Anolis sagrei: one gene and its partners. The protein of the gene in region 1 interacts with the protein of each later gene in a pairwise test. Links are inferred from orthologs where the notes say so. Each region holds a gene or a part of one and is shown in the gene's direction. Other genes may lie near its edges.

Region 1 (8,409 bases):
TTGTTCCATAGGTTTCACTGAAATGTTCTCTTTAGGAAACTTGGTTCTTTAGTGTGTCTACTGGAAGTTGACTATTGTGTCACACTGGATGACCTAGGCCCCTTCTAGACTGCCACATAAAATCCAGATTATCTGATTTGAAGGGGATTACATGGCAGCGTAGATTCATATAATCCAGTTCTAAGCAGATAATCTGGATAATATGGTAGTGTAGAAGGGGCCCCAGTTGAAAAAAAATACCATTGTTTATATTTTTCACTTTTGCCAGATCTTGTGTCCTTAATTCCAGTGAAGGCAGAGAGCTTACTGTGGACCCTTCCACACAGCCCTATATCCCAGACCAGGGGTCAGGAACCTTCGGCTCTCCAGGTGTGGTGGACTTCAACTCCCACAATTCCTTGAGGCTCGGCATTCACCCCAAAGGCTTACCTTGGCCTCAAGGAATTGTGGGAGTTGAAGTCCACCACACCTGGAGAGCCGAAGGTTCCCCATGCCTGTAAGGCAGGAGTCCCCGGTGGCGCAGTGGGTTAAACTGCTGAGCCGCTGAGCTGCTGAGCTTGTTGACTGAAAGGTTGCAGGCTCGATTCCAGGGAGCGGCATGAGCTTCCGATGTCAGCCCTAGCTTCTGCCAACCTAGCAGTTCGAAAACAGGCAAATGTGAGTAGACCAATAGGTACCGCTCCGGCGGGAAGGTAACGGTGCTCCATGCAGTCATGCCAGCTACATGACCTTGGAGGTGCTATGGACAACGCTGACTCTTTGGCTTAGAAATGGAGATGAGCACCGCACCCCAGAGTCCGACAGGACTGGACAAGCGTTCTTTCTCCCACCCTGGACATTCCACAGATATATAAACCCCACTTGCCTAATTTCCAACAGACCTCACAACATCTGAGGATGCCTGTTATGGATGCAGGTGAAACGTCAGGAGAGAATGCATCAGGAGCATGGGCATACAGCCCGGAAAACTCACAGGAACGCAATTAACATTTACTTTTGCTCCTTCTGTGCCACAGTTATGGCATCTACACTGTGAAATGAACACAGTTGGACACTGTATTGACTCCACAGCCCAATGCTATGGAATCTGGATTTGCAGGTTGATGAGGCACCATATTTTTTTGGCAGAGAAGGCTAAAGGCCTCCTAATATTACAACGTTCATGATTGCACAGCTTTGAGCCATGGTAGTTCAAGTGGTATCAAACTGTGCTAATCCAACAGTGCAGAGGAACCAGGTATCTATCCTATTTTCGAAAGAGGGCTGAAAAGGAGCGAGGAGCAGCCTTTGCTTAAAGGTTGGCACCTTAGTAAACGATCAGGAAGAGGGAAGGCTGAGATTTGTCCCCACAGCCTCCGATGGGGATAATCCAGCGACTGATCCCTTTCTTTCGCCTCCCTCTCTCCCTCTCCACTCGGCCAGGTGATTGGATTACCTTCCCTCTTCCAAGAGAAAGGGATTTAGGAAGTGCAACCTTCGTGGTGCAATCCTCCCACCGCGTGCCATTTATTTACCTCCTTTTGGGGTAAAAGGGGTAGCGGCGCCTTTAATACCCGCGCCTGGCTTTATCAATGGGGCAAAGGCGGGAGGCAGGCTCTCGGCTTTTAAAGGTGCCTCTGTACGATTGAGCTGCCCGGGTACAATGCTATGGGATCGGGAAGGTTGCCCTTTAAGTGAAGCATTTCGTTCGTTGAGGCTTCACTCATCCCGTTTACACGGGTCAATCCCTTTGCAGACGCCAAACGCCACCCTCTTAGCGGCCGAGTAAAGCCAGGGATCAAAGTTTGAGCTTTCCTCTTGAATTCTGAGATAAGGGGCGCATCTACACTGCAGGTGGAATGCAGTTTGGCACCGTGTGAGTTGCCATGGAGTTGTAGTTTGACCAGGCGTGGAGGCTTTTCCTCCAAAGGGTGCTAGTGCCTCCCTAAACTACAACTCCCAGGTCTCCATGGGACAATCCTTTTCACTGCCCTGGTTCAATGCTGTGCAATCCTGGGAGCTGTAGTTTTCCAAGGCCTTTCACCTTTACTGACAAACCACAGTGCAACTATGTATTTGTCGAAGGCTTCCATGGCCGGAATCATTGGGTTGCTGTGAGTTTTCCGGGCTGTGTGGCCATGTTCCAGAAGCACTCTCTCCTGACGTTTCGCCTGCATCTGTGACAGGCCTCCTCGGAGGTTATGTGGTCTGCTGGAAACTAGGCAAGTGAGGTTTATGTATCTGTGAAATGCCCAGGGTGGGAGAAAGAACCCTTGTCTTGCATGTTCCAGAAGCATTCTCTCCTGACGTTTCTCCTGCATCTATGATAGGCATCCTTTGAGGTTGTGTGGTCTGTTGGAAACTAGGCAAGTAAGGTTTATATATCTGTGGAATGTCCAAGGTGGGAGAAAGGACTCTTGTCTTGAATGTTCCAGAAGCATTCTCTCCTGACGTTTCTCCTGCACCTAGGGCAGGCATACCCAGAGGTTGTGAGGTCTGTTGGAAACTGGGCAAGTGGGCTTTATGTATCTGTGGAATGTCCAGGGTGAGAGAAAGGACTCTTGACTTGCATGTTCCAGAAGCATTCTTTTTTATTTATTTCAAATATTTGTACCCTGCCCTTCTCAACCCCCACAGGGGGACTCAGGGCAGCTTACAGACGGCAACGATTCGATGCTCCCACATACAACATAATAAATACAATAATTACATATAAGTAAAAACATTAAATTAGTTTAAAATTAAATCCATTTAAAATAATACTGGCTGGTTAGCCTTATTTATTTAGGACTCTTGTCTTGCATGTTCCAGAAGCATTCTTTCCTGATGTTTCTCCTGCACCTATGGCAGGCATACCCAGAGGTTGTGAAGTCTGTTGGAAACTAGGCAAGTGGGGTTTTTATATCTGTGGAATGCTCAGGGTGGGAGAAAGGACTCTTGTCTGCTTGAGGCAAGTGTGAATGCTGTAACTGGCCACCTTGATTCCCACTGAATGGCCTTGCATCTTCACAGTGCAACTCCTATCACCCCCTAGCATTAAGCCAGGGCAGTTCAGGCTGCCTTGCTTCTACAACAGGCATGGGCAAGCTTTGGTCCTCCAGATGTTTTGGGCTTTAACTCTCACAATTCCTAACAGTGGGAGTTGAAGTCCAAAACACCTGGAGGGGTGAAGTTTGCCCATGCCTGTTCGATGCATTCAAAACTTCATCACATTAGAGAGAAAAAATCCACTTGAAATCTGGTTTCTGTCTCCTACAGAATTCTGGGATTTATAGTTTTGTGAGTCTGTTACTGGCTCCTTCGTAAACCACAAATCCCAGAATTCTGCAGGAGACAGAAACTGGATTTTAAGTGGATTTTTCCTCTAGTGTGATAAGGCCAGAGTCTTTCCAGAGTGGCTGCCTTGCCTTTGGCTTCCTCCACACTGCCCTATAACTGCACTATACGAGCCTACACTGACCATATGCTGCATTTTCAAGGCGAAGAGCACTGGATGTGACTCTTAATGAGACATTCCACATTATCACGGGGTGTTTGTGCCCTACACCACTGGAGAAATTACACTTCAAAGCCCCTTCTCTCCCACTGCAGAACTGAGCAGCCACTCTAGAGCAGGGTTTCTCAACCTGGGGGCCGGGACTCCTATAGGGGTCACAAGGGGAATGTCAGAGGAGTCACCAAAGACCATCAGAAAACACAGTATTTTCTGTTAGTTGTGGGGGTTCTGTGTGGGAAGTTTGGCCCAGTTGTATTGTTGGTGGGTTCAGAATGCTCTTGGATTGTAGGTGAACTATAAATCCCAGCAACCACAACTCCCAAATGTCAAGGTCTATTTTCCCCAAACTCCACCAGTGTCCACATTTGGGCATATTGAGTATTTATGCCAAATTTGGTCCAGATCCATCATATGCTTGAGTCCACAGTGTTCACTGGATGCAGGTGAACTACAACTCCAAAACTCAAGGTCAATGCCCACCAAACCCTTCCAATGTTTTCTGTTGGGCATGGGAGTTCTGTATGCCAAGTTGGGTTCCATTCCATCGTTGGTGGAGTTCAGAATGCTCTTTGATTGTAGGTGAACTATAAATCCCAGCAGCCACAACTCCCAAATGTCAAGGTCTATTTTCCCCAAACTCCACCAGTGTCCACATTTAAGCATATTGAGTATTCGTGCCAAATTTGGTCCAGATCCACCATGTATTTGAGTCCCCAGTGCTCTCTGGATGTAGGTGAACTACAACTCCAAAACTCAAGGTCAATGCTCACCAAACCCAGTATTTTCTGTTTGTCTTTGGAGTTCCCTGTGCCAAGTTTGGTTCCACTCCATCGTTGGTGGAGTTCAGAATGCTCTTTGATTGTACGTGAACTATAAATCCTAACAACTACAACTCCCAAATGACAAAATCAACCCCTCCCTCAAACCCTACCAGTATTCAAATTTGGGCATATCGAGTATTTGTGCCAAATTTGGTCCAATAAATGAATCATAGAATCATAGAGTTGGAAGAGACCTCATGGGCCATCCAGTCCAACCCCCTGCCAAGAAGCAGGAGAATGCATTCAAAGCAACCCCGACAGATGGCCATCCAGCCTCTGTTTAAAAGCTTCCAAAGAAGGAGCCTCTGCAACACTCCAGAGCAGAGAGTTCCACTGCTGAACAGCTCTCACAGTCAAGAAGTTGTTCTTACTGTTCAGATGGAATATCCTTTCTTGTAGTTTGAAACCATTGTTCTGCATCCTAGTCTCCAGGGCAGCAGAAAACAAGCTTGCTCCCTCCTCCCTATGACTTCCTCTCACACATTTATACATGGCTAAAATTCAACTTGCATATTCGATATTGACATTACGATTCATACCAGGAGCAAAATTAAGAGTTGTGAAGTAGCAACGAAAATAATATTATTGGGGGGGGGGGCGTTACCACAACAGAAGGAACTGTATTAAGGGCTCTCGGCATGAAGAAGGTTGAGAAGCCCTGCTCTGGAGTGTGTCTCCGCCGGCGTTGCCCTTTTGAATGAGCGGCGAGAAGCCGAGCCCAAGCGAGCAGGCAGGCAGGCAGGCAGGGAAAGGAGGGACGCGCGCGCATGCGCACACGCGCCCCCATTCTGGCGCTCGGGCGAGGAGGGAGGGGGGAGGAAGAGGGAGAAAAGGGGAGGGGGGGTGAGGTTGCAACGAGGCGGGACCGGATGCGATATATCCTCCGGGACAACAACTGCTCTGTTCCTCCTCGGATCCACATGACGCCATTTACTGCGGCTTTGAGCGGAGAGAGCTCACCCTGCCTCCTCCGGAAAGAAGAAGAAGAAGAAGAAAAGGAGGGAGGGAAGGAGGGGAAAGGAGGGGTGGGAAGGAAAGCGAGCCAGGGAAGGAGGGGAGGCGGCAGAAAAACGCCGCCGCTCCTGGCGCCCGGATCTCAAAGCTGCCCTTTCCTGCTCCAGCGCAGGGAAAGCGGGGGAAGCAAGCAGCAGGCGGGGGGCTTCTCCTTCTTCTTCTCCTCCTCCTCTCTCCCCCTTCTTGCTTGGCTTCCCTGCCTTTCCAGAAAGCCTTCTAAGTCTGGCTTGGCTTGGGGGTCTCGCGCACCTTGGAGAGAGAGAGAGAGAGAGAGAAAACACGCGCGAGCCCACGTTTCTGCACAAACAGCGCTCGGAGTCACGCAGCCACCTTCCAGCCTCGATTGCCCGTCTGCACTGTCTCTCTTCTCCCAGATTTGCTTGAGATCCTCGCCGCCGCTAGAGAAGAAACCTCCGAAGCCACTTTTGGGATCTTAATTCGGGGAACAGCCCAAGCCCTTCTCCCTTCGAGCCCCTTCTCGACGTCTCTGGCCATGCCTTCCTCTGTAGTGTGGTGATGCCTGGCTTGGGAGCGACTCCGGATTGACGAAGAGACCTCTGGTTCATTGAGAAAGAGAGAGAGAGAGGACAAGGCAACCTCGCCCCGATTGACAGAAAAAGGGGCGCCTTCACAAACAGCTCTGAGATTGGTTTGGGTTGCTATTTATTCGCCTCCGGGGGAAAAATAAAGGAAGGTGGGACGCGACTTTTTCCCCTCGTGGGTTTCGGAAAGGGAACTCAGCAAGCCGACGTCTCAATGATTCTTCTGGCTTGCAACCTGGACTTGAAGTGAGTTGGGGTGGTTTTTTTTGTGGGGGAGGGAATCAAGAAGGCTTTGGTTTCATGTTTTGGTGGGTTTGGATTGGGAAGAAGAAGAAGAAATCAAGGGGAAAGAAGGGAAGAAGAGAGTATTTGTGTCTGTGTGTGTTGTTAATGGAACGGATGGGGAGATTTCCCCCCTTTTTGCAGGAAACAAGCGCCTTGGGAAGAAGAGGGGGAAAGACTCAGGCTACAACTACAATCCCACATTATGAGAGTGTGGACTCGGGGCTCTTCCACACAGCCCTATATCCCAGAATATCAAGGCAGGAAATCCCACATTATCTGAGTGTGGACTCAACCCAGTTCAAAGTTGATATTGTGGGATTTTCTGCCTTGATATTCTGTTTGGAAGGACCCTGGGGAGAAGGAAGAGGGCAAACTTTGGCTGCAGGACTTTTCCCCCTTCTTTGCAGGAAAGGGGTCGGATTTTGAGGGAGGGGATGTTTCCAAGGTTTAATGTATTGTCAAGGCTTTCATGGCCTGAATCACTGGGCTGTTGTAGGTTTTTTCGGGCTATATGGCCATGTCCTAGAGGCATTCTCTCTTGATGTTTCGCCTGCATCTGTGGCAAGCATCCTCAGAGGTTTCTGAGGTTTCTCGGGCCCTTTCCACACAGCTAAATAAAAATCACACATTGGGTTGTTGTAAGTGTTTTAGGCTGTATGCCATGTCCCAGAAGCATTATCTCCTGACATTTCACCTGCATCTGTGGCAGGCATCCTCACAAACTCTGCCACAGATGCCGGTGAAACGCCAGGAGAGAATGCTTCTGGAACATTGCCATTCAGCCCGGAAAACTTACAGCAACCCAGTGATTCTGGCCATGAAAGCCTTTGACAATACAAAATCCCATGTTGTCTACTTTGAACTGAGTTATATGGCAGTGTGGACTCAGATAACCCAATTCAAAGCATTATATTGGATTTTCCACCTTGATAATATGGCTGTGTGGAAGGGCCCATAGACTGAAAGCTTGGAGAGTCACTTCCTTTCAGATGGTTTGGCCAGTGACAGATTTGCCCCAATTCCCAAAGGAGCTTTGGGCTGTTCCACACTGTAGAATGAATGCAGTTTAGCACCATTTGGAACTGTCCCGGCACCATGCTATGGAATTATAGGAGTTGTACATTGGCACTCTTTTTTCTGAAGACATTGTCAAACTCCAGTTACATTGATCCCACCATTTGCAGCCATGGGAGTTCAAGTGGCATCAAAGTGCATTAATCCTACTGTGTAGATGGGAAAACTAGGGTTACAGTGTAGCTCTGCCAAGAAATGTGTGCCTGACAGGATCCTGTCAAGTGAAAATCTTGTCCAACCCCAACCCCCAACTTCACTTGCTTGTTGCCCTTCTTAGGACACATCTGCACTGCAAAATTAATGCACTTCAACACCACTTGAATTGTCCTGGCTCAGTGCTATACAATCTTGGCTGTTCTAGTTTGGTGAGGCACCAGCACTCTTTGGCAGAAGATGAAATACTTTTTCAGGGCCCTTCCACATAGCCCTATAAACAAGACTATCAAGGCAGAATATCAATATCTGCTTTGAACTGGGTTATCTGAGTCCACACTGCCATATATCCCAGTTCAAAGCAGATATTGATATTCTGCCTTGATAGATTTGGTTATAGGGCTATGTGGAAGGGTCCTGAAAAAGTATTTCCACACTGCCGTATATCTCAGTTCAAAGAAGATATTGTGGGATTTTGTTCAACTCTGTGGAAGGGGGCATAAACTAGAATTCCTTATGTGTTGTTGAAGTCTTTCACGACCAGGATCACTGGGTTACTGTGAGCTTTCTGGGCTGTATGGCCATGTTCCAGAAGCATTCTCTCCTGATGTTTCACTCACATCTATGGCAGGCATCCTCAGAGGTTGAGGGGTCTGTTGGAAACTAGGCAAGTGAGGTTTATATATCTGGAATGCCCAAGGTGGGAGAAAGAGCTCTTGCCTGCTTGAGGCAAGTGTGAATTTTGCAAATGGCTATCTTGATTAGCAGTGAATGGCCTTGCAGAATTCCCTATCATTGAGTGGTGCCAAACCACCTTCGTTTGCCCGTGTAGATGCACCCTTAGGTGTCCTTTTAAAAGCCGCCTTCTTTGCCACTGCTGGAGTTGGTGAAGTCTGTGCGAGTGCAGATCGGAAGTGAGTGATTGCCTAGTTGAAATCTGCATTGTTTTGCTTCATGTGTGTGTATGTGCTGGCCTTTCAAGGCTTAAGACAAACCCATGAATCTCGGGGTGTTTTCTAAAACCCAGAGGTGGTTTTGCCAATTC
Region 2 (8,122 bases), about 43 Mb from region 1:
ACTGTATACATGGACATCATCTGATAGCCAATATGAAAGTAAAATAAACCATATGTGATTTTCCTGCTTCTTGGTAGGGGGTTGGACTGGATGGTTCATGAGAACACTTCCAACTCTATGATGCTATCATTGGGAAAAGAAAATAGAGAATTCTCTGCGAAAACAAAATCAGAAGAAAATTGCGGCACAGACCATGAACTGCTAATATTTTAAAAAGAGAATAAAACTAAAGAACATGAAACAAGCCAGCATGCCAAACCACAACCTGAAAAAAACATCCCTGTGGAATTTAAAGATAATGTAAAATGTAGATTTACACTATTAAGCCTAACTGAGCCAGGGACACTGTCAGGAAAGAATACAAAAATACATTGTCTGCAGCCAAAACAGAAAGAAATATCTGTGGATGGCAGATGAAAGTCTTCAAGCAGTTAAGGAATGGTTGTTAAAATTCTCCAACATAGATGCTCTTGAATAATTTCAGTTTTTGGACATATTGGTCTTCTAAGCTCTCCCTCTTTATATGGCAATTGTATTACATTACCTACTTCAAACAGTGATAGTTCCACCCTACAAAGTTTTTTGGTGCTCTTATTCTGCTGGGTAGGAACCAAGATGTAGGTCCCAGGCCCCTCAGTATTTCCTAACTGGGGCCCCTTCCACACAGCTGAATAAAACCCCACAATATCTGCTTTGAATTGGAATATATGGCACTGTGGACTCAGATAACCCAGTTCAAAGCAGATATTGTGGGATTTTCTGCCTTGGTATTCTGGGTCATATGACTGTGTGGAAGGGCCCCCAGAGTCCTTTTCTAGGAGCAACACAGTTATAGGGTACTCCAGTGTTTTTAGTAACACCTCAAAGCCAAAATATCTATATATGTAGTAATTTGAGAAATGTTCCCAACAGGTATAAACTACCAGGAACAAACCCCTGGGAATAACTTTTCTCAGTTCGATGCAATTTTCACATACATGCTCTAGAACTAGAAATGATGAGATTCAAAGGATATTTCATTTCAGAGCTTGGCCTTCTGCTCTGACCAAATGATTAAGCAAAACAAAGGGAAAACTTTGCTTCCCTGTGGCAACTGCTTGTGTTGCTTTAGGTATGTCGCATCCTTTGAAAATCAGCTAGAAAAGAAGCAGTTTTGGAAAGAACAACATTATGATCATGATCAAAATTATTACTCACCTCTTCCAATGAAGCCATTATCACATGTCAAAATACATTTTCTTTGCATTATAATAGTTGGCCAGCTAGAAATCCCGCAGTCTTCTCTGCAGATATTTTCATTGAGGCACCTCGTATTGCTCGTTGAATCATTGTAGAAGATGGCATTATGACCGGCGTCAGTGTAATTCAACCCATCTGGAGAGATCAGGTAGCCTCAAATGGCATTGCTCCAGTGACCAGGAAGGTAAAAAGGCAGCAAGCCTTTTAATTAACCATAAACAGGAAGAGGAATGTTGTAGTATTTGCAAATATATCCAACGAGTCTCTGGAAATGGCACCAGATGTAAGTGTGTGTTATCTGTCCATATGAAAGAAAGGAGAAATGTAATTTGGTTGTATAGTTTTTCCTCATTAAAGGCCTGCCAGGAATGTAACAAAGAGCATCTGAGTAACAGAGAAGAGCTTGCTTCCAGAAATACGGAAGAGATAACAGTGGGAGGCATTTCATCTCTCATGTCTCTCATATACTCACAAGTACACAGTTTTCTGCAAGAAGCTTTCTGTTCTGTGAAACCCAAAGAGCTTGATTTGCAACAGAGAAGGTTACACTTGGAGACACAGTGTACACATTATTATTTTCTGTACATTACACGTGTTTCACTCAAATTGTCAATATTTTTACTGATTATAACACTCTCGAGTTTGTTGCTCTTCAGATGTATTGGACTATAATCCCCAGCTTACTCAGGTACTATGACTGGAGATAGATAGATAGATAGATGGATAGATAGAGATGTGTGTGTGTGTGTGTGTGTGTGTGAAGTGTTTGTGGGCCACTCTAGGTCCTTCATTGCAATGTTTATGCTTCCAGATAAGTTATAGTCAAAATATAGAGTTCACTATTATCTGTGGTTTCGGGTATCAGTTGTGGGACTCTTGGAACATATTCCCCATGGATATAGGAGGTTGTACTGTACTGATTATATCCTCAGCAGTGGAGGGGATGTTTGTTGAGTGTGGAAAACATCCTTTCTTGAAACATAATTTTCAGAATCAACCACTTGTACTCCCAAAAATCTGTTCTTAAGATGAAAAGCACATGTCTTTGTTTCAGATAGATTAGGAATCAGCTGGGTTTGTCTGTAATAGGCAGCAAGAGCACCTAAAGCTTTGAAGAGCTTCTGTTCAACCATCTCAAAGCTCCCTGCTTGAGCGGTAATGGCACGATCATCAGCATAGATGAAACTCTCTATCCCTTCTGGCAGTGGCTGGTCATTTGTGTAAATGTTGTACATTGATGGAACAAGCATGCTTCCCTGAGGCAGGCCATTCTTCTGTTTTTGCCATCTGTTTCTCAGGCCCTGGAATTCAACAAAAAAAGCTCCTGTTTAAGAGTAGATTTTCCATGAAGTGGGCGAGGTGGTAGTCCTTTGTGATATCATAAATTTTCCTCAGGAGAAGGCAATGATTTACAGTGTCATAGGCTGCTGACAGGCCTATGAAGACATCTGGAGCATAACCCAAATACCTGCGAGTTACCCTGGATTGTTCTCTGACCTACACGAAGCACTGCCTGAATACCAAGCAAAATGTGAGTGCTTGAAAGCTGATTGGCACAACCTGGGGATCACAACCAGATACAGTGAAGACAACAGCCCTTGTGGTATGCTACTCTACTGCTGAGTACACATGCCCAGTGTGGAACACATCTCACCACGCTAAAACAGTGGATGTGGCTCTTAATGAGACATGCCACATTATCACAGGCTGTCTATGCCCTACACCATTGGAGAAATTATACTGTCTAGCCGGTATTGCACAACCTGACATTTGCCAGGAAGTGGTAGCCAATAATGAAAGGACCAAGGCAGTGACATCTCCGCCCATCCCCTGTTCAGATATCAGCCAGCATGCCAATGCCTTAAATCAAGAAATAGTTTTCTAAGATCTACAGAGATAGTCGCAGGAACACTTCAGCAAATGAGAGTCCAAAAGTGGCAGGCTAAAACCAGGAACCTCAAGCCATGGCTGATACTGAATGAGAGACTCCCCCCGGGCCTTGTAAATCAGTTAAATTAGCCTCCTCACATAAGTGGTACCTAAATTTCCTACTTGACAGATGCAACTGTCCTTTTAGGGCTGCAAAGGTCGACAACAAGCTACACAATTTTGGTCGGGAGCTCACTCTGACCTGGGCTGGCTTCAAACTCATGACCTTTCAGTCAGTAGTGATCTTAATGCAACTGACTGTTGTGACTCAGCTGGAATCAGAGAGTGTTTCTGATGAGGATGATGGGACTTAGGTTCACAGTCTGGTTCAAAATGTCCCTGTTATAGACAGTGAAGAAGTGCAGTTTCTCACAGCAAGGCATGAGAGTGTTGATACTGAAAATAGCCAGGTGCAGGTGCAGATTGACTCAGAGAAGGAGGACGGTTCACAACCTGATAATGAGCAAGCAGGGAAACAGGCTGACACTAACGAACAGACTGACCTTGATGAAATGGGAAACTTAGATCGGGCTGACCGTTTGGAATTCCGAGTTCAAAGGAGTGAGAGAATAGCTAACAAGAGGGAGGTCAGAGGCCAAAGAAGCGCCTTCATGTTTTGTAAGGGTATTAAGCAGTGTGTTTGAGACCAAACCTTCGTCAAAGCAACTTTGCATTCAACTAAGAAGCTTGCCATTGCTTGGCTAGATTATCTTGCAGTTTTTGTGTTCATGGTTTCAGGTCTTTGTCATGTTCTCTTGGGCTTTTGCTTCGCTGGTGCCTTTTTGGATTAAGCTTCAAAGTGCTATATTATATTGATCTTTTGGAACATTAACCTTTGCTTTTAAGAAATTTTTACCTTTTATTTTTAATAAACTATAAAGACTTCTGGCTGTGTGCAGTTTGGTGTTTTGTAGCCAGGAGAATCTACTCTGAGGTGCAACACTGACTCCCAGCCAGCTGTGCCACAGTCACAGTATCTACATAGATGTCTTCATAGACTTGTTAGCAGCCTATGACACTGTAAATCATTGCCTTCTCCTGAGGAAAATGTATAATATCACAAAGGACTACCACCTCACCCACTTCATAGGAAATCTACTACAAAACAGAGGCTTTTTTGTTGAATTCGAGGGCCAGAGAAGCAGATGGGAAAAACAGAAGAATGGCCTGCCTCAGGGGAGCATGCTTGTTCCATCAGTGTGGGTTACAATAGAGTTAAAACACATTACCATAAAGTATAGATATAAAACACATAAAATATGTAGTACAAAGGTTCAAATACAATACAAATAGAATGTAAATTTAAAATTTATAGTTTTACTACTAAAAGAGATAGGTCTTCAATTGTGTCTTGAATACTGACAGCTCATTTAGCTGTCAGAATCTCTTCCAATATTCACAGAGAATGTTGAAAATGTTGTATTTATAATTTAACATACAAAGAAATATTCTACATGAACATTTCATTCATACTGACAACTCCTCTTTGAGGAAATCGGTTTACATCAGAGAAGGCACCAATCTAATCTGCGAACAGTCACTGAAATGAAATGTATAGCTCTGAGGCAGGGTGGGCCAGTAACCTGTAATCCACATTCAGTCCAAGGTATTTACCTTCCCCTCACTTTGAGGCTGTCTGCAGCAATAATTTTAAGAGCCACACCATGCTGTGAAAACAGGATGTCAACTTGTGTCAAAAAAGATCGAAGGAGGTTTTGAGGTTTTGATTTTTATCACAGGAGACTCTGCCTACACACTCTTTCTCTGCACCTTTGTCTACGTTGCATTCGCAGAAGAGAAAGAGAGAGATGGCAGCAACTGAGATACCACTATATTCCAAAGTCCTAAGCAAGCACAGAAATAGAAATAGCCAGTCTTTACTGGAGCCTCTCTTGATGAATGGATTCTCTGTACATATAGCGTAAGTATCTCTTCTACTGCATACAGTTCCTCTCCTATTTACTGGTATATAACTAACTGAGTTGGCTTACAGTTTAAAATCATGGCTTCTACTCAGGGGTGGCTCAACCCATTACGCAAAGTAAGCATTTGCAGTATAGTTGATTTTGCCCAGGGGCGCCCTTGAAGCGCTTTTGGGGGAAAATAGACCTTGACATATGCAAGTTGTAGTTACTGGGATGTATAGTTCACCTACAATCAAAAAGCATTCTGAACTCTACCAATGATGGAATTGAACCAAATATGGTACACAGAACTCCCACGACGAACTATATATATATATATATATATATATATATATATATATATATATCAGTGATTGGTTGGGGGGCGGGCGGGCAAAATACTGTTTGCTTACCGTTGAAAATTACCTAGGGCTGCCTCTGCTTTTACTTTAAAGTATGTAAGAATGGGAGAGTGTATGAGGAAGGAAGAAAAAAAATAAACTTTTCCAGGTACTATATATTTTACATGTTGGATAAATGGGTTAGGGCAGCCCTGCTTGCTTTAAAAGTAAACTGGTATTCAGAAAGGAAGCAGAAAAGGGTGTTTTGTTTTCTTTAGGGCTAGAACATTGTGTCCATTTCTGGGCAACATAATTCAAGATGGGTATTGACAAGCAGGAATGTGCCCAGAGAAGAGCAACTAATGATCAAGGTTTGGAAGCTAAGTCCTATGAGAAGCAGTTTAGGAAGCTAGGTATGTTTTCAGGATCAGAGTTTAATTTAATAAGGCGTCATGTTCACAAAGCATCTTTTCAAACTGATATCAGAAATAAAGTTATTCTGATTCAATGTGATTGTGGCTTTCATTACTTAATGTGAGTTTATTGTGCTCTCCTCAGGCTAAAAGCTTTGGCAGCTACTGGGCAAAAGTCAGTAGAAGATGCAACAAAATGGTGAGTGGGAGCAAGGAATATTTTCAAACAAGGTGTCATAGAAACCATCCCAAGTCAGGGACAAACACAGCGAACCTGGCTAAGTACATCTTCAAGACATGAAGTTCATATCACATGGTTGTACGGTAGAATTAATTATTTCATAAGCCAGTTAATGCTATATGTGTAAGATATGGCTTGTTAACTTTTCTATGACTGGTGGCCCCCTGATGGCGCAGTGGGTTAAACTGCTGAGCTGCTGAACTTGCTGACCAAAAGATTGGTAGTTCGAATCTGGGGAACGGGGTGAGCTCCTACTGTTAGGCCCAGCTTCTGCCAACCTAGTAATTCAAAAACATGCAAATATGGGTAAATTAATACATACCGCCTTGGTGGGAAGGTATTGGCGCTCCAGGCAATCATGCCGGCCATGTGACCTTGGAGGTGTCTATGGACAACGCCAGCTCTTCGGCTTAGAAATCGAGATGAGCACCACCCTCCGGAGTTGGACACGACTAGACTTAATGTCAGGGGAAACTCTTACCTTTACCTTTTATGACCTTTTATGACTGATCATTGTGGAGCACCTTTGGTTTTTAAGAGGAAAAAATGGATGTAAACATATGGAGGCCCAGTGATAAACATGAGCCAAGGAGTGACTGTTGGTCATTAAATTTTAATTAATGCCTTGACTGATTGACCACAAGCGATGTACAAGAACTACTATAGTGTAGTGCTTTGAGAATTGGACTAGGTCTTTGGAATTTGAATTTTTGTTCAGGAATGAAAACCCACTCAGTGACCTTGGGCATGTCATATTCTCGGATCCTGAGAGGAAGACAATAGAAAACCTCTTGTGAATAAGTCATGTTAAGAAAATATTATGATAGGTTGTAAGTCAGAGCTAAATTAAAGGCATAAAATAGCAACAAATGTTCACTTGAAACAGGTCACAGAGCTCTGCAGATAAATACTGAAGTCTGCTCTCTAGCCACCTCTCTAATGTCCTTGTGGTTTGTGTGGCCAAAACATTTTTTTAAGAATTGCTTTTGGGCTATAAATAATTACTCTATTTTTAAAGTGTTCTAATTGCTGCGGCTATGCTATTTCTGGTGGTTGCAAAGCCCCATTTTTGTTATTTTAAATAATAATAATAATAATAATAATAATAATAATAATACACTTTTATTTATACTTCGCCCTTCACTCCATGGGGAGTCAGAGCAGATTACAGTATAAACAGATACCAGCAAACCTTCAATGCCTTGTTACAATACAATGAGACACACAAACACAAACAAAGGCAAAGGCTTCTCCTTTCATTTCCGGCTTTGGAGACAGTGCTCATGTCTGGCTCTGGGGGAGGTGCTGTTCTCCATTTCCATTCTGAGGATCCCGTGTTGTCACATCCTGGACATGTGACTGGTATGATTGTTTGGAGCATCTTATGCCTTTCCCGATGAAGCTGTACCTATTTGTCTACTCACATTTGCATGTTTTCAAACTGCTGTGTTGGATTTTAAACTGTAAGCTAACAGTGGGAGCTCACCCGGTCCCACAGATTTGAACTGCCAACCTTCAGGTCAGCAGTTCAGCAACACAAGGGTTTAACCCATTGCATCACCACATCCCCTATTGCCTTGGAAATGAGGTTAAATGGGAAAGCTTCCACCATTTCCAAAGCCCTACAGTCTGATGGCATGATTATGGATATATCAAGGGAATGAACTATTCCAGCAACAGGCTGGTTAGTTTAGAGGCCTGCTCAAAACCCACCTACCCCCAACTTTTAGGTTAAGCAGATACAAAACCAGTTTGATCCCACAAGAACACTTTCCTTCAGTTCCAACCATCTATTAAAACTATTTTATTTTATTAAACAATTTGTATACATCTATTTATTGCAAGACCCTAGGGAGTGTACAAATAAAATTGGTACCAATTGTACTTCATTTATATCCATGGAGCTTTGTTTTAGCATAAATGAATTTGCTGGCATAGATACCCATTGCCCTTTTGTGGATAGAAGAGTGCTTGCACTATTTTTAATCTTAATACATCCTCTGTTAATTGTAGGTTGCATTCTCACTGCAATGATCCCTCTTTAGAAGATCCTAT
Region 3 (7,639 bases), on another chromosome or scaffold:
GATGTAGGTGAACTACAACTCCAAAACTCAAGGTCAATGCCCACCAAACCCTTTCAGTATTTTCTGTTGGTCATGGGAGTTCTATGTACTAAGTTTGGCTGAATTCTATTATTGGTGGGGTTCAGAATGCTCTTTGATTGTAGGTGAACTATCAATCCCAGCAACTACAACTCCCAAATGTCAAGGCCTGTTTCCCCCAAACTCGACCAGTGTTCACATTTGTGCATATTGAGTATTTGTGCCAAGTTTGGTCCAGATCCATCATTGTTTGAGTCCATAGTGCTCTCTGGATGTAGGTGAACTACAACTCCAAAACTCAAGGTCAATGCCCACCAAACCCTTCAAATATTTTCTGTTGGTCATGAGAGTTCTATGTACTAAGTTTGGCTGAATTCTATCATTGGTGGGGTTCAGAATTCTCTTTGATTATAGGTGAACTATAAATCCCAGCAATTACAACTTCCAAATGTCAATGTGTGTTTCCCCCATACTCCACCAGTGTTCACATTTGGGCATATTGAGTATCTGTGTCAAGTTTTGTCCAGATCCATCAATGTTTGAGTCCACAGTGCTCTCTGGATGTAGGTGAACTACAACTCCAAAACTCACGGTCAGTGCCCACCAAACCCTTCCAATATTTTCTGTTGGTCATGGGAGTTCTGTGTGCCAAGTTTGGTTCAATTCTATCATTGGTGGGGTTCGGAATGCTCTTTGATTGTAGGTGAACTATACATCCCAGCAACTCCAACTCCCAAATGTCCAGGTCTATTTCCCCCAAACTCCACCAGTGTTCACATTTGGGCATATTGGTTATTTGTGCCAAATTTGATCCAGTGAATGAAAATACATCCTGCATATCAGATATTTACATTATGATTCATAACAGAAGCAAAATTACAGTTGTGAAGTAGCAACAAAAATAATGTTATGGTTGGGGGTCACCACAACATGAGGAACTGTATTAAGGGGTCGCAGAATTAGGAAGGTTGAGAAACACTGTACTTACTTACTTAGGCGATCCCTCGTTGGACGAGTAAGATGGTCTTCCATCATGGGTTTCCTTGTGGGTCCGCATGTGGCTGTGGAGCCCTATTCTTGCTCTGCATCTTCTTCCGCAGTGAGGGCATTGGTTTCCAGGTGGAAGGCGGTCCCGGTCGGGGTTGGCTTGACGCGCCTTCCTCCTGGCACGTTTCTCTCTTTCACCCTCCACTCGTGCCTCCTCGAATTCTGCAGCACTGCTGGTCACAGCTGACCTCCAGCTGGAGCGCTCAAGGGCCAGGGCCTCCCAGTTCTCAGTGTCTATGCCAGAGTTTTTAAGGTTGGCTTTGAGCCCATCTTTAAATCTCTTTTCCTGTCCACCAACATTCCGTTTTCCGTTCTTGAGTTCGGAGTAGAGCAACTGCTTTGGGAGACGGTGGTCAGGCATCCGGACAACGTGGCCTGTCCAGCGGAGTTGATGTTGGAGGACCATCGCTTCAATGCTGGTGGTCTTGGCTTCCTCCAGCACGCTGACGTTTGTCCGCTTGTCTTCCCAGGAGATTTGCAGGATTTTCCGGAGGCAGCGCTGATGGAATCGTTCCAGGAGCTGCATGTGACGTCTGTAGACAGTCCATGTCTCACAGGCATATAGCAGGGTTGGGAGGACAATAGCTTTATAGACAAGCACCTTAGTATCCCTACGGATGTCCCGGTCCTCAAACACTCTTTGTTTCATTCGGGAAAATGCTGCAGTTGCAGAGCTCAGGCGGTGTTGTATTTCGGCGTCGATGTTGACTTTGGTGGAGAGGTGGCTGCCAAGGTAGCGGAAATGGTCGACATTTTCTAATGTTACACCATTAAGCTGTATCACTGGCATTGGAGAGGGATCGGCTGGTGACTGCTGGAACAGCACTTTGGTTTTCTCGATGTTCAGTGACAGGCCAAGCTTTGTGTATGCTTCTGCGAAGGTGTTTAGAGTGGCTTGTAGATCTTCTTCTGAATGCGCACAGACGACATTGTCATCAGCATACTGGAGTTCTATAACAGATGTTGTTGTGACCTTGGTTTTGGCTTTCAGTCTGCTGAGGTTAAATAGCTTGCCGTCTGTCCGATAGATGATTTCCACTCCGGTGGGAAGCTTCCCATCAACAAGGTGAAGTATCATGGCGATGAAGATGGAGAATAAAGTTGGGGCAATAACACATCCCTGTTTGACGCCCGATTCCACCTTAAATGGGTCACTTGGGAGCCATTGCTGTCCAAGACTGTTGCCATCATGTCATCGTGGAGGAGCCGCAGGATGTTCACAAATTTGCTTGGGCACCCGATTTTTTGGAGGATGGTCCAGAGAGCGCTGCGATTCACTGTGTCGAATGCCTTGGCAAGGTCGATGAATGCCATGTACAGAGGTTGGTTTTGTTCCCTGCATTTTTCTTGGAGCTGTCGTGCAGTGAAGATCATGTCCACAGTTCCTCTGGAGGGGCGGAAGCCGTTCTGGGATTCTGGGAGGGTGTCTTCTGAGAGGGGAAGAAGGCGGTTTGCAAGGATTCTTGCGAGGATTTTTCCAGCAGAGGTTAGAAGGGAGATACCTCGATAGTTTCCGCAGTCTGTTCTTTCCCCTTTTTTGAAGAGGGTGATGATGGTGGCATCCTTGAAGTCTGCTGGGATTTTCTCGGTCACCCACACTTTTTCTATGAGCTGGTGGAGTTGGTGTGTCAGCGCAGGTCCTCCCTCTTTAAAGATTTCAGCAGGGATCCCATCCGGTCCGCTGGCTTTGTTGTTCTTTTGTTGGCTGATGGCATTGCTGACTTCTTCCAAACTAGGCAGTGCTGCAAGCTCATCCCTGGTTTGTTGCTGCGGGATTTGTGAGAGGACCTCTTCGGCCACACTGGAGCTGCGGTTTAGGAGGCTTTGGTAGTGTTCTTTCCAACGTAGTGCAATTGACTTTTGGTCCTTCAGGAGTTTGGTTCCGTCTGATGAGCGTAGAGGCTGTATGCCATGGTTTCTTGGCCCATAGATGACCTTTGTGGCTTTGAAAAATCCTTGAGCATTATGGGTATCTGCCAGGTGTTGGATTTCTTCAGCCTTCTTTGTCCACCAGATGTTCTTGAGTTCTCTTGTCCTTCTTTGGACCTCAGCTTTTGCACTGGCGTAGATCTTTTTCTTAGCAGCACAGTTGATGTCTCTCTGCCATGTTTGGAAGGCTTTCCTTTTCTTGTCGATTAGCTGTTGGATCTCGATGTCATTTTCGTCAAACCAGTCCATCAGTGTCCGTACGTTCCACGTACCGAAGTTCATTTTTCTTTTTTGGCCGCAGGATGGTGACCCCACTGGACGCGGCAGTCCAGTCAGGGATAAGTGAGGCAGACTATGTTTAGGGCACCTTTTCTAGCCCCCTCCCCGTGTGGGGTGAGCAGAGTGGGTCCTAAAAAGGGCTGCTCAGTTCGCGGATACAGCTGCCGAACTACTCAACTGCCTCGGACCTTGAGGTAGAGCGACTGAGTCCGTACCCACCGCCCATGTGCCAGTCTGTGACTAGGGGCTTCCAGATTTCACAGTCCTGCCCCCGTCGCCACTCGCTGATCGCCATGGGACTTTGGTTGCTTGGTTTTTATTTTCTTTGGAAGACGCCTGTGCGTGGGTTTTTTTAATGTGTGGAGGTCAGTGCACAGCTGAACAACACACAGTCTTCACAGATGAGGTTCCACTGGTGATGTAGTTTAACACAATGACCGTGGCTTCTCAGTCTGTTGCAGCCTTCTTCCGCCTTCGCAGCCGTTGTAACATGTGCCATGTTATCCTCCGCCTGCTCCGCCGTTGAGGTCTTTGGTCTTCGGACTGTGCTTGGTCTGGGACCTCCCCCGCGGCCACTCCTGGGAGTGCACGACTCCAGTTGTTGTGCCCACAGGTTCATCGGAACACGCAAGCCCCCTCACCACGACAAGGTGACAGTCCATCGAGGGGACACTGTGTTAAATGAGAAACACTGTGTTAAATAAAGAGTGTGTACATATTTTTGGGACAGAGGTAGGAGTCCTACTAGCGCTAGGACCCAGGGAAGCCAGTGGGCGGGGGATTTGAAAGGCTTCCCCAGTACAAAGCCACCCATTGGAAGTGAGAGAGGGAGAGACTGCAGAGTGAAGCAGAAGACCTTTCTGCCTTGGATTGCAGGTGGAAGTAGGTGAGTTTGTATGGATGCTTTCTTAAAAGGAGGATGCTAGTCCTCATGAAGGTCATGTTGCAGGTTCTTTTTTTGCATTGCTTACAAATCACCTCTTTGCTCCTTCCCTTCATAATTTTTTTTAAAACCCCAAGCCACAAAATTATAGCCCCACCTTGCTTCTTATGGGATTTGTAGTTTACAGAGGCACTAGAACTTTATTGGGAGTTTCTCGTTCTACACTGTAAAATTAATACAGTTTGATACCCCCCCCCCCTTTAAGTGCCATGGCTCAATGCTATATGGGAATTGTAGTTTTACAAGGTCTGACAAAGTGGGGTAGTGCCACAGCAAACTAGAAATCGCAGCATTCTAAGGGAATTCAACATTCTACACTGTAGAATTAATGCAGTTTGCCCCCCCCCCCCCTTTAAGTGCCATGGCTCAATGCTATATGGGAATTGTAGTTTTACAAGGTCTGAAAAGTGGGGTAGTGCCACAGCAAACTAGAAATCGCAGCATTCTAAGGGAATTCAACATTCTACACTGTAGAATTAATGCAGTTTGCCCCCCCCCCCTTTAAGTGCCATGGCTCAATGCTATATGGGAATTGTAGTTTTACAAGGTCTGAAAAGTGGGGTAGTGCCACAGCAAACTAGAAATCGCAGCATTCTAAGGGAATTCAACATTCTACAGTGTAGAATTAATGCAGTTTGCCCCCCCCCCCCCTTTAAGTGCCATGGCTCAATGCTATATGGGAATTGTAGTTTTACAAGGTCTGAAAAGTGGGGTAGTGCCACAGCAAACTAGAAATCGCAGCATTCTAAGGGAATTCAACATTCTACACCAGAATTAATGCAGTTTTACCCCCCCCTCCCCCTTTTCACTGTCATGGCTCAATGCTATATGGGAATTGTAGTTTTACAAGGTCTGACAAAATGGGCTAGTGCCTCGCCAAACTACAAATCCCAGGATTCCAGGGGATTCATTACCATGGCTCAATGCTATATGGGAATTGTAGTTTTACAAGGTCTGACATAGTGGGCTGGTGCCTCACCAAACTACAAATCCCAGGATTCTAGGGGATTCATTACCATGGCTCAATGCTATATGGGAATTGTAGTTTTACAAGGTCTGACAAAGTGGCCTAGTGCCACAGCAAACTAGAAAATTTAGGATTCTAAGGGAATTCAACATTCTACACTGTAGAATTAATGCAGTTCCCCCCCCCCTTTAAATGCCATGGCTCAATGCTATGTGGGAATTGTAGTTTTACAAGGTCTGACAAAGTGGGATAGTGCCACAGCAAACTAGAAATCTCAGGATTCTAAGGGAATTCCACATTCTACACAGTAGAATTAATGAACCACCCTCCCCCCAAATTAAATGCCATGACTCAATGCTATATGAGAATTGTAGTTTTACAAGGTCTGGTGCCTCGCCAAACTACAAATCCCAGGATTCTAGGGGAATTCAACATTCTACACAGTAGAATTAATGCAGTTTGACCCCCTCCCCTTTAACTGACATGGATCAATGCTATATGGGAATTGTAGTTTTACAAGGTCTGACAAAGTGGGCTGGTGCCTCGCCAAACTACAAATCTCAGGATTCTGGGGGAATTCAACATTCCACACTGTAGAATTAATGCAGTTTGATCCCCTCCCCCTTAACTGCCATGACTCAATGCTATATGGGAATTGTAGTTTTACAAGGTCTCACAAAGAGTGCCTTGCCAACCAGGATTCTATAAACCATGGAACACTAGAGAAGTCAAACTCCATTCATTCCGATTTCCAAAGCTTTAATTTAGGCTTGTTTTATTATCATATAGCGGTGTTGATACTTTTTTTCTTTACTCTGTAACTTTGTTGTATTTTGCCTGGATAATTTGTTGTAAGAGTTCTATATTTTGTTATTTCTTCCTTCCCTCTCTTGCTAGGTGCATCTAGACCATGTATGGGTAAACTTGGGCCCTCCAGGTGTTTTGGACTCCAACTCCCACAATTCCTAACAGCCTCAGGCCCTTTCCTTTTCCCCCTCAGCCGCTTAAGCGGCTGAGGGGGAAAAGGAAAGGGCCTGAGGCTGTTAGGAATTGTGGGAGTTGGAGTCCAAAACACCCGGAGGGCCCAAGTTTGCCACATCTGATCAACACTGTAGAATGAATGCAAGTTTGTCACTACTTTAACTACCATGGCTCAATATCATAGAATCCTGGGAGTTGTAGTTTTACAAGGTTTTCAGCTTTCCCTGCTGGTGCTTCAGCAAACTACAATTCCTATGATTCCATATAGCATGAAGTCAAAGTGGTGTCAAACTGCACTATATAATTAAAGGATGATGATGATGATGATAGTTCCCAAGGCCACCAGAAGGAACTACAGATTGCAATATTTTATTTATTTATTTATTTACGACATTTATATGCCACCCTTCTCATCCCGAAGGGGACTCGGAGAAGCTTTCAAGATATATATACATACAATATATTATATTATTAGCATAGTACAATATCAGTATTAAAAGGTAAAGGTAGTCCCCTGACACTAAGTCCAGTCATGTCTGACTCTGGGGTGTGGTGCTCATCTCCATTTCTAAGCCGAAGAGCCAGCATTGTCCGTAAACACCTCCAAGGTCATGTGGCCGGCATGACTGCATGGAGCGCCGTTACCTTCCCGCCGGAGCGGTACCTATTGATCTACTCACATTTGCATGTTTTCGAACTGCTAGGTTGGCAGAAGCTAGGGCTGACAGTGGAAGCTCACACCGCTCCCCGGAATCGAACCTGTGATCTTTCGATCAACAAGCTCAGCAACTCAGTGCTTTAACCCACTGCGCCACCAGGGGCTCCATAATTTTTATTAGTATTAGTATTAGTAATCAGTATTAGATATTACTATATTGGTCCCAGGCATAGTATGTACTTGCCAATTTGATTTACTGTATATACTCGAGTATAAGCCTAGTTTTTCAGCCCTGTTTTAAGGCTGAAAAAGCTCCCCTTGGCTTATACTCGAGTCAAGGTTATTTATTATTTTACTCTATTATTATTATTATTATTATTATTATTATTATTATTATTACATTTATAGGTTAGCTTTATTTATTTTTATTATTATTACATTTATTATTTTACTCTATTATTATTGGAAAGATATGTAAACACATGTACATTGAGGATGGTTAGAATAATGGCTTAGTCAGAGTTGGAAAGTCTTACCTTACAATTTTATGTAAATATTAATAAACAGTCAACCTACTGATGCCTCAATTAATGTAATTTTATTGGTATCTATTTTTATTTTGAAACTGACCCATAGCTGCTGCATTTCCCATCCTCGGCTTATACTCGAGTCAATAAGTTTTCCCAGTTTTTTGTGGTAGAATCAGGGGACTCGGCTTATATTTCGGGTCGGCTTATACTCGAGTATATACGGTAATTTGATGCTGGCAAGACTGCTCCTATGTATGTGCAGAATGCACTGTGTGTTATAGCTTTTC
Region 4 (7,622 bases), on another chromosome or scaffold:
TATTATTATTATTATCTAGACGTAGGCCGATCTGGAGATAACTCCCATCTATTATTATTATTATTATTATTATTATTATCTATATTCTTGAGATTATTATTATTATTATTATTATCTAGACGTAGGCCGATCTGGAGATAACTCCCATCTATTATTATTATTATTATTATTATTATTATTATTATCTAGACGTAGGCCGATCTGGAGATAACTCCCATCTATTATTATTATTAGTATTATTAGTATTATTAGTATTATTATTATCTAGACGTAGATCTGGAGATAACTCCCATCTATTATTATTATTATTATTATTATTATCTATCCTGATTCACATCCTTTGGTGGAAGGACCTGTTGGAAGGAAGCAAAACTTCTAAACAAACTTAGAAAAGGATTGTCGGGTTTTTTCCCCCCCGTCTATGTTGTAGAAGCACTCTCTCCTGACGTTTCGCCTGCATCTATGGCAAGCATCCTCAGAGGTTGTGAGACATTTGGTGACATAGCTTAATCAACCTCAGAGGTTGTGAGACCTCTGAGGTTGATTAAGCTATGTCACCAAATTCGAAAAATAAAATATGTTCCTGGTTTGAATGTGTTCTTTCCTGTTTAATCACTGGGTTGTTGTAGTCCCCCCCCCCGGGCTATATGGTCATCTTGTAGAAGCACTCTCTCCTGACGTTTCGCCTACATCTATATCAAGCATCCTCAGAGGTTGGGAGGTCTTTAGCTTCAGTTAATTTAACGATGTCACCAAATTCGAAAAAATAAAATCTGTTCCTCGTTTGAATGTGTTATTTCCTGTGTAATTGTGCAGGACTTGACTTTGAAAGTAGTTGTTCTTACACCAGAAACTTCGGGGGGGTTTTTTTGTGGCTGGCACAAACTCACAACCTCTGTGGATGCTTGCCATAGATGCAGGCGAAACGTCAGGAGAGAATGCTTCTACAAGATGACCATATAGCCCGGAGGAAAAAACGACAACAATCCAATTATTCCAGCCATGAAAGCCTTCGACAATACATTAAACTTAGAAAAGCAGCTCAAAATAACCCCGGATGGGAAAAGAAGTGAGATATCTACATTGCTGGTAGACACATATAATCCAGTTCAAGTCTGAGACAGTGTAGATCCCAGCCTGGGAAAAACATGCCAGCGCATTTTACTCATACTTTTTGCTACCTATTTCTAAGTCTCATGGGCTGATTTTGAGGTAAACAAACATTTGTTGTTGAAGGCTTTCATGGCTGGAATCACTGAGTTGCAGTGAGTTTTTCGAACTGTATGGCCATGTTCCAGAAGCATTCTCTCCTGACGTTTCGCCTGCAAGTAAGTAAGTAAGTAAGTAAGTAATAGCAGGCATCCTCGGAGGTTGTGCAGGCAAAACGTTAGGAATATCTCAACCAATTCCTACCTCACAACTTCTGAGGATGCTTGCCATAGATGCAGGCGAAAGGTCAGGATAGAATGCCTCTTTTGGAACATGGCCACACAGCCTGAAAAACCTACCACAACCTAGTGATTCTGGCCATGAAAGCCTTCGATAAGACACTAGTGGATTAAATTTGATAGATACTCTCCGAATTCAAATTCCACTACTACTTGAGACCATCAAATCACAGCTGTAGTTCTCTCAAGACTGGAAGGCAGGATTGAAGAGGCACAATTCAGAAGTGTGTTTGTAAACTAAAGGAAGGATGCCTGCTCTAGATGTGGGCGAAACGTCAGGAGAGAATGCTACTGAGAAATGCCCATATAGACCGAAAAACTCACCGCAACCTAGTAAACAAACATGCCTTCCGACCCGTTTGATTTTTGAATGAAGGACACAAACTATTGCGAACGTCCATTCTTTTCCACTTCGAGGCAGATCTCTTCCAAAATAAAAAGCGGAGGGGAAAGTTTAAGCAGGAAAAAACACTATATGTCACAACATTTCAGGGAAAAAAACATGTTCCTGTTTCGAAAGTATTATTTCTTCTTTAGTTGTGCTTCCCTTGCTTTGAAAGGAGTTGTTCAACTCCAGAAACTTCAGTTTTGCTGCCACAAACTATGTCGGAATTGAGTATGTTGTAGGTCTTTCGGTCAAAACCAACACTTGGTATTGTCGAAGGCTTTCATGGCCGGAATCACTGGGTTGTTGTAGGTTTTTCCGGGCTATATGGCCATGTTCTGGAGGCATTCTCTCCTGACTTTTCTCCTGCATCTATGGCAAGCATCCTCAGAGGTAGTGAGGTCGGAATTGGTTGAGATATTCACTGAAAAACTCGAGCGGTATGTTTTGTATTTTTATGGGGGTTTTTTTTGCAATTGAATAAAACTTTCTCCATGTCTTCAATAATAGAACCAATGAAGAAATGACATATTAACCCAGGAATTAAAAATAGTGTAATAAATCCGACTAGGAAGGAAAGGAAGAGGGAAGAGGAAAGGAAAGAAAGGAAAAAGGGTAGGAAGGAAAGGAAAAGAGGGAAGGAAAGGAAAGGAAAGAGGGAAGGAAAGGTTTGTGTGATTGATCCTTGGTATAAAGGTGTATAAAACAAATATAGAAACCAAACATTGACTGAAAACAAGTCAGTCTTTGCAACAATAACAAGGCAGGATAGACAGAATTATTTTCCTTTTGATGGAAGAGTTGTTACCCCCCCCCCCCGCAGATAAAATGTTGTTGCTGACACGATTTGTGACACTCAGAAAGCTTTTGTTGTTCTCCAAATTTTTCGTGACCAAGGATCTCTCTCTCTCTCACACACACACACACACATATATGGGGAAATCGCCTTTGTGTGTGTATGTGTGTGTGAGAGAGACAGACAGACAGACACACACACATCTATCTATCTATCTATGGGGAAATTTAATCCAGTGGTTTGTGCGTGTGTGAGACCCACACACACACACACATATATATATGGAAATTTAACCCAGTGGTTTGTGTGTGTGTGTGTGAGAGAGAGAGAGAGAGAGAGAGTGAGAGAGAGACACACACACATATATGGAAATGTAATCCAGTGGTTTGTGTGTGTGTGAGACACACACACACACACACACATATATATGGAAATTTAATCCAGTGGTTTGTGTGTGTGAGACACACACACACACACACACACACATATATGGAAATTTAATCCAGTGGTTTGTGTGTGTGTGTGAGAGACACACACACACACACACACACACATATATGGAAATTTAATCCAGTGGTGTGTGTGTGTGTGAGACACACACACACACACACACATATATGGAAATTTAATCCAGTGGTTTGTGTGTGTGAGACACACACACACACACACACACACACATATATATGGAAATTTAATCCAGTGGTTTGTGTATGTGAGAGACACACACACACACACACACACACACATATATGGAAATTTAATCCAGTGGTTTGTGTGTGTGTGACTCATGTTAATCCCACAAACGAACATTTATATATACACACACACACACACACACACATATACATACATACATACATACATACATACATACGGGGAAATCACCTTTGTGTGTGTGTGTATAAATGTTCGTTTGTGGGATTAACATAACTCAAAAACCACTGGATGAATTGACACCAAATTTGGACACAATACACCCATCAAGCCAACGAGTGACCATCACTCATAAAAACACTGCAAAACACAACAGAAGAGACTTAAAAAGGCAAAAATATGAAAAAATACATTACAACTCATGCGCAAAACCACATATACGCATATATACACATAGGAAACACGTATACACAGACTGGGCCACAGCAAAGCGTGGATGGGGACGGCTAGTATACACACACACACACACACATACACAAACAGGTGATTTCCTCGCAGAGAGAACCTGAGGATATCAAAACGGATCATCATCATCATCCTATCTGCCTTGGTCCTGTCTGCTTCGTTGTGTCTAAACGGGAAACGGGGGGTCCCGACCCCTTTTCTGAGCTCCGTGTTGAGGCTCTGACACGGATTTGTGAGTGTTTACAATGTGGAAGATGCTTCCATAAAGAGGAGGAACCCGCCTCTCTCTCTCCTGCTTTCTGATCAGTCCATGTTTGGTTCCTACTCTTGTTTCACACGCTTCTCTCCTTGGAGAGCTCCTCAGAAAAGTTTTCTTGGAATCAGAAGCCTTGCCCGCCCTACCCTCCGTCCTCTTTCTTTCTCAGGATAGATAGAAGCGGGACCCCGACCTTGGCGCGCATGGATGTCCTCTGGGGGCCCCAACCCGGCTCTGCCCCGCTCTACCTGCCCCGAGGGCGCCGCCGGGGAGCGTGGGCGGGGCGCGGGGCGTGGCCTGGGGGAGGGAGCCCCGTCCCGCGCCGCCATTGGCCCCGGCGGCTGTCGCTCGGCGCTCCCGCGCCCGCCCATTGGCGCCGTCCCGGGTCCCGCCTCCGCCCGGCGCTCACATACCCGGGGAGGGCCCGGGAAAGGTGATCAATCTTCGCCGGGCGACATTTCCTATCAGCTAAACAGCTGGGCGGGCGAAGGGAGGCTGCGGCTTGGAGGGAATCTGAAGAACGAGCGAGGTGTTTCCGTGGGAAGAGAGAGAGGCAGCGCGGGGCCGGTCGGGGCGCCCCCCTCCCTCTCGCGCGGACAGGTGAGGCGCCCCCCTCCCTCCCCGCCCCCCTCTGCCCCCTCCCTCCCCTTCCCCCCTCCCTCACTCCCCCCCTCCCCTCCCCCTTTGGAGGAGTCCGAGCCTCTCCTGGGAAGGAAGTCCGGGCAAGGGGAAGAGGAAGGGAGCAGCGGCGTCGGGCGGAGCGGCGGACACGGAGGAGGCCAACTTTTCCCTCCCTCCGTTGCTGGAGGTGCGGCTCCCAGAGAGACCTCTCTCTCTCCGTCTTTCAATCTCCCTGCCCCAGCTACCCCCCCCCTCCTCCTTCTATAGAAACTTTCCTGAAACTTTCTCTCTCTGGTCGGGTCCGGAGGGGGGAAAGGCGCGCGGAAGGGCGCGCGCGAGGGGGAGTCCGGGCGGAAGGAAGGAAGGAAAGAAAGAGGGAAAGAAAGAGGGAAGGAAGGGAAAGGAAGGAAAGGAAAGAGGAAAGGAAGGAAAAGAAAAAGGAAAGGAAGAGGAAAGAAAAGAGGGAAGGGAATGAAAGGAAAGGAAGCGGTAAGGAAAGAAAGAGGGAAGAAAGGAAAAGGATAGGAAGGAAAGAGGGAAGGAAGGAAAGGAAGAGGAAAGGGAGGGAAGGAAGGAAGGAAGGACGGGGTCCCAGGAGGTTCGAGCCCTCTTCCCTCCCACGCGCGCGCTCGCTCTCTCTTAGCTTTGCGGCCCTGCTGGAAGCACAGCGCGAGGCCGGAACGGAAGGAAGGAAGGAAAGTAGAAAGGAAGAAAAGGAGGAGGGAAAGAAGGAAAGAGCCAAGGGGAGGAGGAAGGAAGAAAAGAAGGGAAGGAAGGAAAAAGCGAAGGGAAGAAGGAAGGAAGGAAAGTAGGAAAGAACAAAAGTAAGAAGGAAGGAAAGTAGGAAGGAAGAAAAGGAATGAAAGAGCGAAGTGAAGAAGGGAAGGAAAGTAGGAAGGAAGAAAAGGAGAGAAGGTAGGAAAGAGTGAAGGGAAGAAGGAAGGGAAGGAAGGAAGAAAAGGAGGGATGGTAGGAAAGAGTGAAGGGAAGAAGGAAGGGAAGTAGGAAGGAAGAAAAGGAGGGAAGGTAGGAAAGTGTGAAGGGAAGTAGGAAGGAAGGAAAGTAGGAAAGAAGAAAAGTAAGAAGGAAAGAAAGTAGGAAGGAAGAAAAGGAGGGAAGGAAGGAAAAGCGAAGGGAAGAAGGAAGGAAGGAACGTAGGAAGGAAGGAAAGTAGGAAGAAAGGTAAGAAGGAAGGAAGAAAAGGAAGGAAGGAAAGAGCGAAGTGAAGGAGGGAGGAAGGAACGTAGGAAAGAAGAAAAGTAAGAAGGAAAGAAATTAGGAAGGAAGGAAAGTAAGAAGGAAAGAAAGTAGGAAGGAAGAAAAGGAAGGAAGGTAGGAAAGAGCGAAGGGAAGAAGGAAGGAAGGGAAGTAGGAAGAAAGGTAAGACGGAAGGAAAGTAGGAAGGAAGAAAAGGAAAAGGGAAGGAAGGAAAGAGCGAAGGGAAGGAGGAAAGAAGGCTGCTGTGAGTTCATAGCCATACAACCTGAAAAACTCAAAGCAACCCAGTGATTCCAGCCACGACAACACGAGGAAGGAAGGCCTTGCTTCCGGGAAAGTGCTCCTGACCTATCTTACCACATATTACCCACATTGTGCGTGGTACGGGTCAGCATTGAGCATATTATTGCACTTCCAAGCGGGGCGCGGGGTGGAAGAGGGCGGATCGGGGCCATTTCCCCAGTCACATCCCTCCTTCCTTCCTTCCTTCTGGGGAAAGAGAGAGGCGGCAACAGGTCTACTTTCTTGTCCCCTCGCCTCCTTGAAACCCCACTTTTCCTACTCTTTGGGGTTCCATCTCGGCTGCCTGTCTCAATAAATCCCATTCTTAGAAAGCCTCCACCCGCATCATCGGACCTTTCCATTCCTGCAGAAGGCTAGTTCGAAAGCGCCTTGAGTATTCTGTGTGGATGCGGCCTTTGTCCCCTCTTTCCGCAGTTTCTGGGGATGTTGGCGTCGTTTCAGGCACGACTTTCCCTTCCTAGTCAAGGATTATTTTTCCCCCGTGTCAGGAGCGACTTGATAGGGTTTGTAATACAATATAATGCGATCCGTGTCCTTCTTCTTGTGTCCCCCCCCCCCTTCCTCCCTTTCTTCCCTCTTTCCAGGAAAAGCCAATGCCGTCGCTTCTTCGCAGCCCTTAAGGAGCCTGGATGCGCCTTTTCCTTTCGCCGCACTAAAACCCGCAGCGACACGAGTGAGTTTCCTAATAATCGCCCCAAAACTGGACCCAAACTTCCTCCTCCTTCGTCGGGATCTCTGTGGATTTCAAAGGACCCCGTTTTGTTTTTAAGCCACTCGCGGTTTCTAATTGCCCTTCTGTCCCCCTTTTTCAATTAATTACTCTCTCTCTCTCTCCTCTCTCTCTCTCTTTCTTTCTTTTTGGAATCTCGTTTTGATTTCTAATCCAATTATCTTTTTAAAATAATGGCCCTATCTCCCTCCCTCAGCAGCCCGCATTGTCCCTCCGAGAAACCCCTCGGCGATTGTATGGGAAGCATCACCAGGGCTTTACAGGGAGGAAGAATCACCCCATGCCTTAACCCCCCCTTCCTTCCTTGACTCCCTTCTTAACACTTCTAGTTTCCCTAGAAAGCCGCCATGTTGGTTGTGTGGATGTGTGTTTTTCCAAAACTGCGCGAGGACAAGACTTTGGGAAATTATGAGATCGGTTTGACGCCTTCAAAAGGAGTTTGCTTCTGCTTTTTCCTTTGAGAAAAATCAAAACAGTTGAAGGAAGGCTCAGTCTATACAGAGACGGATCTAATGCGCTTCAAGCGGCCTTCTTTGAGAGACGGGACCCAACACTTTCAAGGAAGGCCGGCTTGAAACTTTATTATCAATGGCCTTCTGCATATGTGTGTGTGTGTGTATCTCTTTTCTATATTTCCCATATATATATATATATATATATAGAGAGAGAGAGAGAGAGAGATCCAAATATATATATATAGAGAGAGAGAGAGATCCTATATATATATATATATATATATAGACAGA

Evidence for each region.
Region 2: the proteins of SPRY2 (region 1) and UBASH3A interact in binary tests that used the Homo sapiens proteins (3 or more experiments, as listed by UniProt). The two-hybrid records come from large-scale screens. The link is inferred for Anolis sagrei from reciprocal best matches to the Homo sapiens genes SPRY2 and UBASH3A.
Region 3: the proteins of SPRY2 (region 1) and HSD3B7 interact in binary tests that used the Homo sapiens proteins (3 or more experiments, as listed by UniProt). The two-hybrid records come from large-scale screens. The link is inferred for Anolis sagrei from reciprocal best matches to the Homo sapiens genes SPRY2 and HSD3B7.
Region 4: the proteins of SPRY2 (region 1) and OTX1 interact in binary tests that used the Homo sapiens proteins (3 or more experiments, as listed by UniProt). The two-hybrid records come from large-scale screens. The link is inferred for Anolis sagrei from reciprocal best matches to the Homo sapiens genes SPRY2 and OTX1.

What each region holds. Positions count from the first base shown.
Region 1 is NC_090023.1:117,507,825-117,516,233, reverse strand, and holds the start of SPRY2 (protein sprouty homolog 2), read left to right. Parts: upstream 1-5,172; 5' UTR 5,173-6,098; intron 6,099-8,409.
Region 2 is NC_090023.1:74,952,379-74,960,500, forward strand, and holds the start of UBASH3A (ubiquitin-associated and SH3 domain-containing protein A), read left to right. Parts: upstream 1-4,926; 5' UTR 4,927-4,976; coding exon 4,977-5,089; intron 5,090-5,971; coding exon 5,972-6,025; intron 6,026-8,080; coding exon 8,081-8,122. UniProt on the Homo sapiens protein: Interferes with CBL-mediated down-regulation and degradation of receptor-type tyrosine kinases. Promotes accumulation of activated target receptors, such as T-cell receptors, EGFR and PDGFRB, on the cell surface.
Region 3 is NC_090026.1:14,544,954-14,552,592, forward strand, and holds the start of HSD3B7 (3 beta-hydroxysteroid dehydrogenase type 7), read left to right. Parts: upstream 1-4,088; 5' UTR 4,089-4,159; intron 4,160-7,639. UniProt on the Homo sapiens protein: The 3-beta-HSD enzymatic system plays a crucial role in the biosynthesis of all classes of hormonal steroids. HSD VII is active against four 7-alpha-hydroxylated sterols. Does not metabolize several different C(19/21) steroids as substrates.
Region 4 is NC_090021.1:152,705,036-152,712,657, forward strand, and holds the start of OTX1 (homeobox protein OTX1), read left to right. Parts: upstream 1-4,425; 5' UTR 4,426-4,604; intron 4,605-6,730; 5' UTR 6,731-6,819; intron 6,820-7,622. UniProt on the Homo sapiens protein: Probably plays a role in the development of the brain and the sense organs. Can bind to the BCD target sequence (BTS): 5'-TCTAATCCC-3'.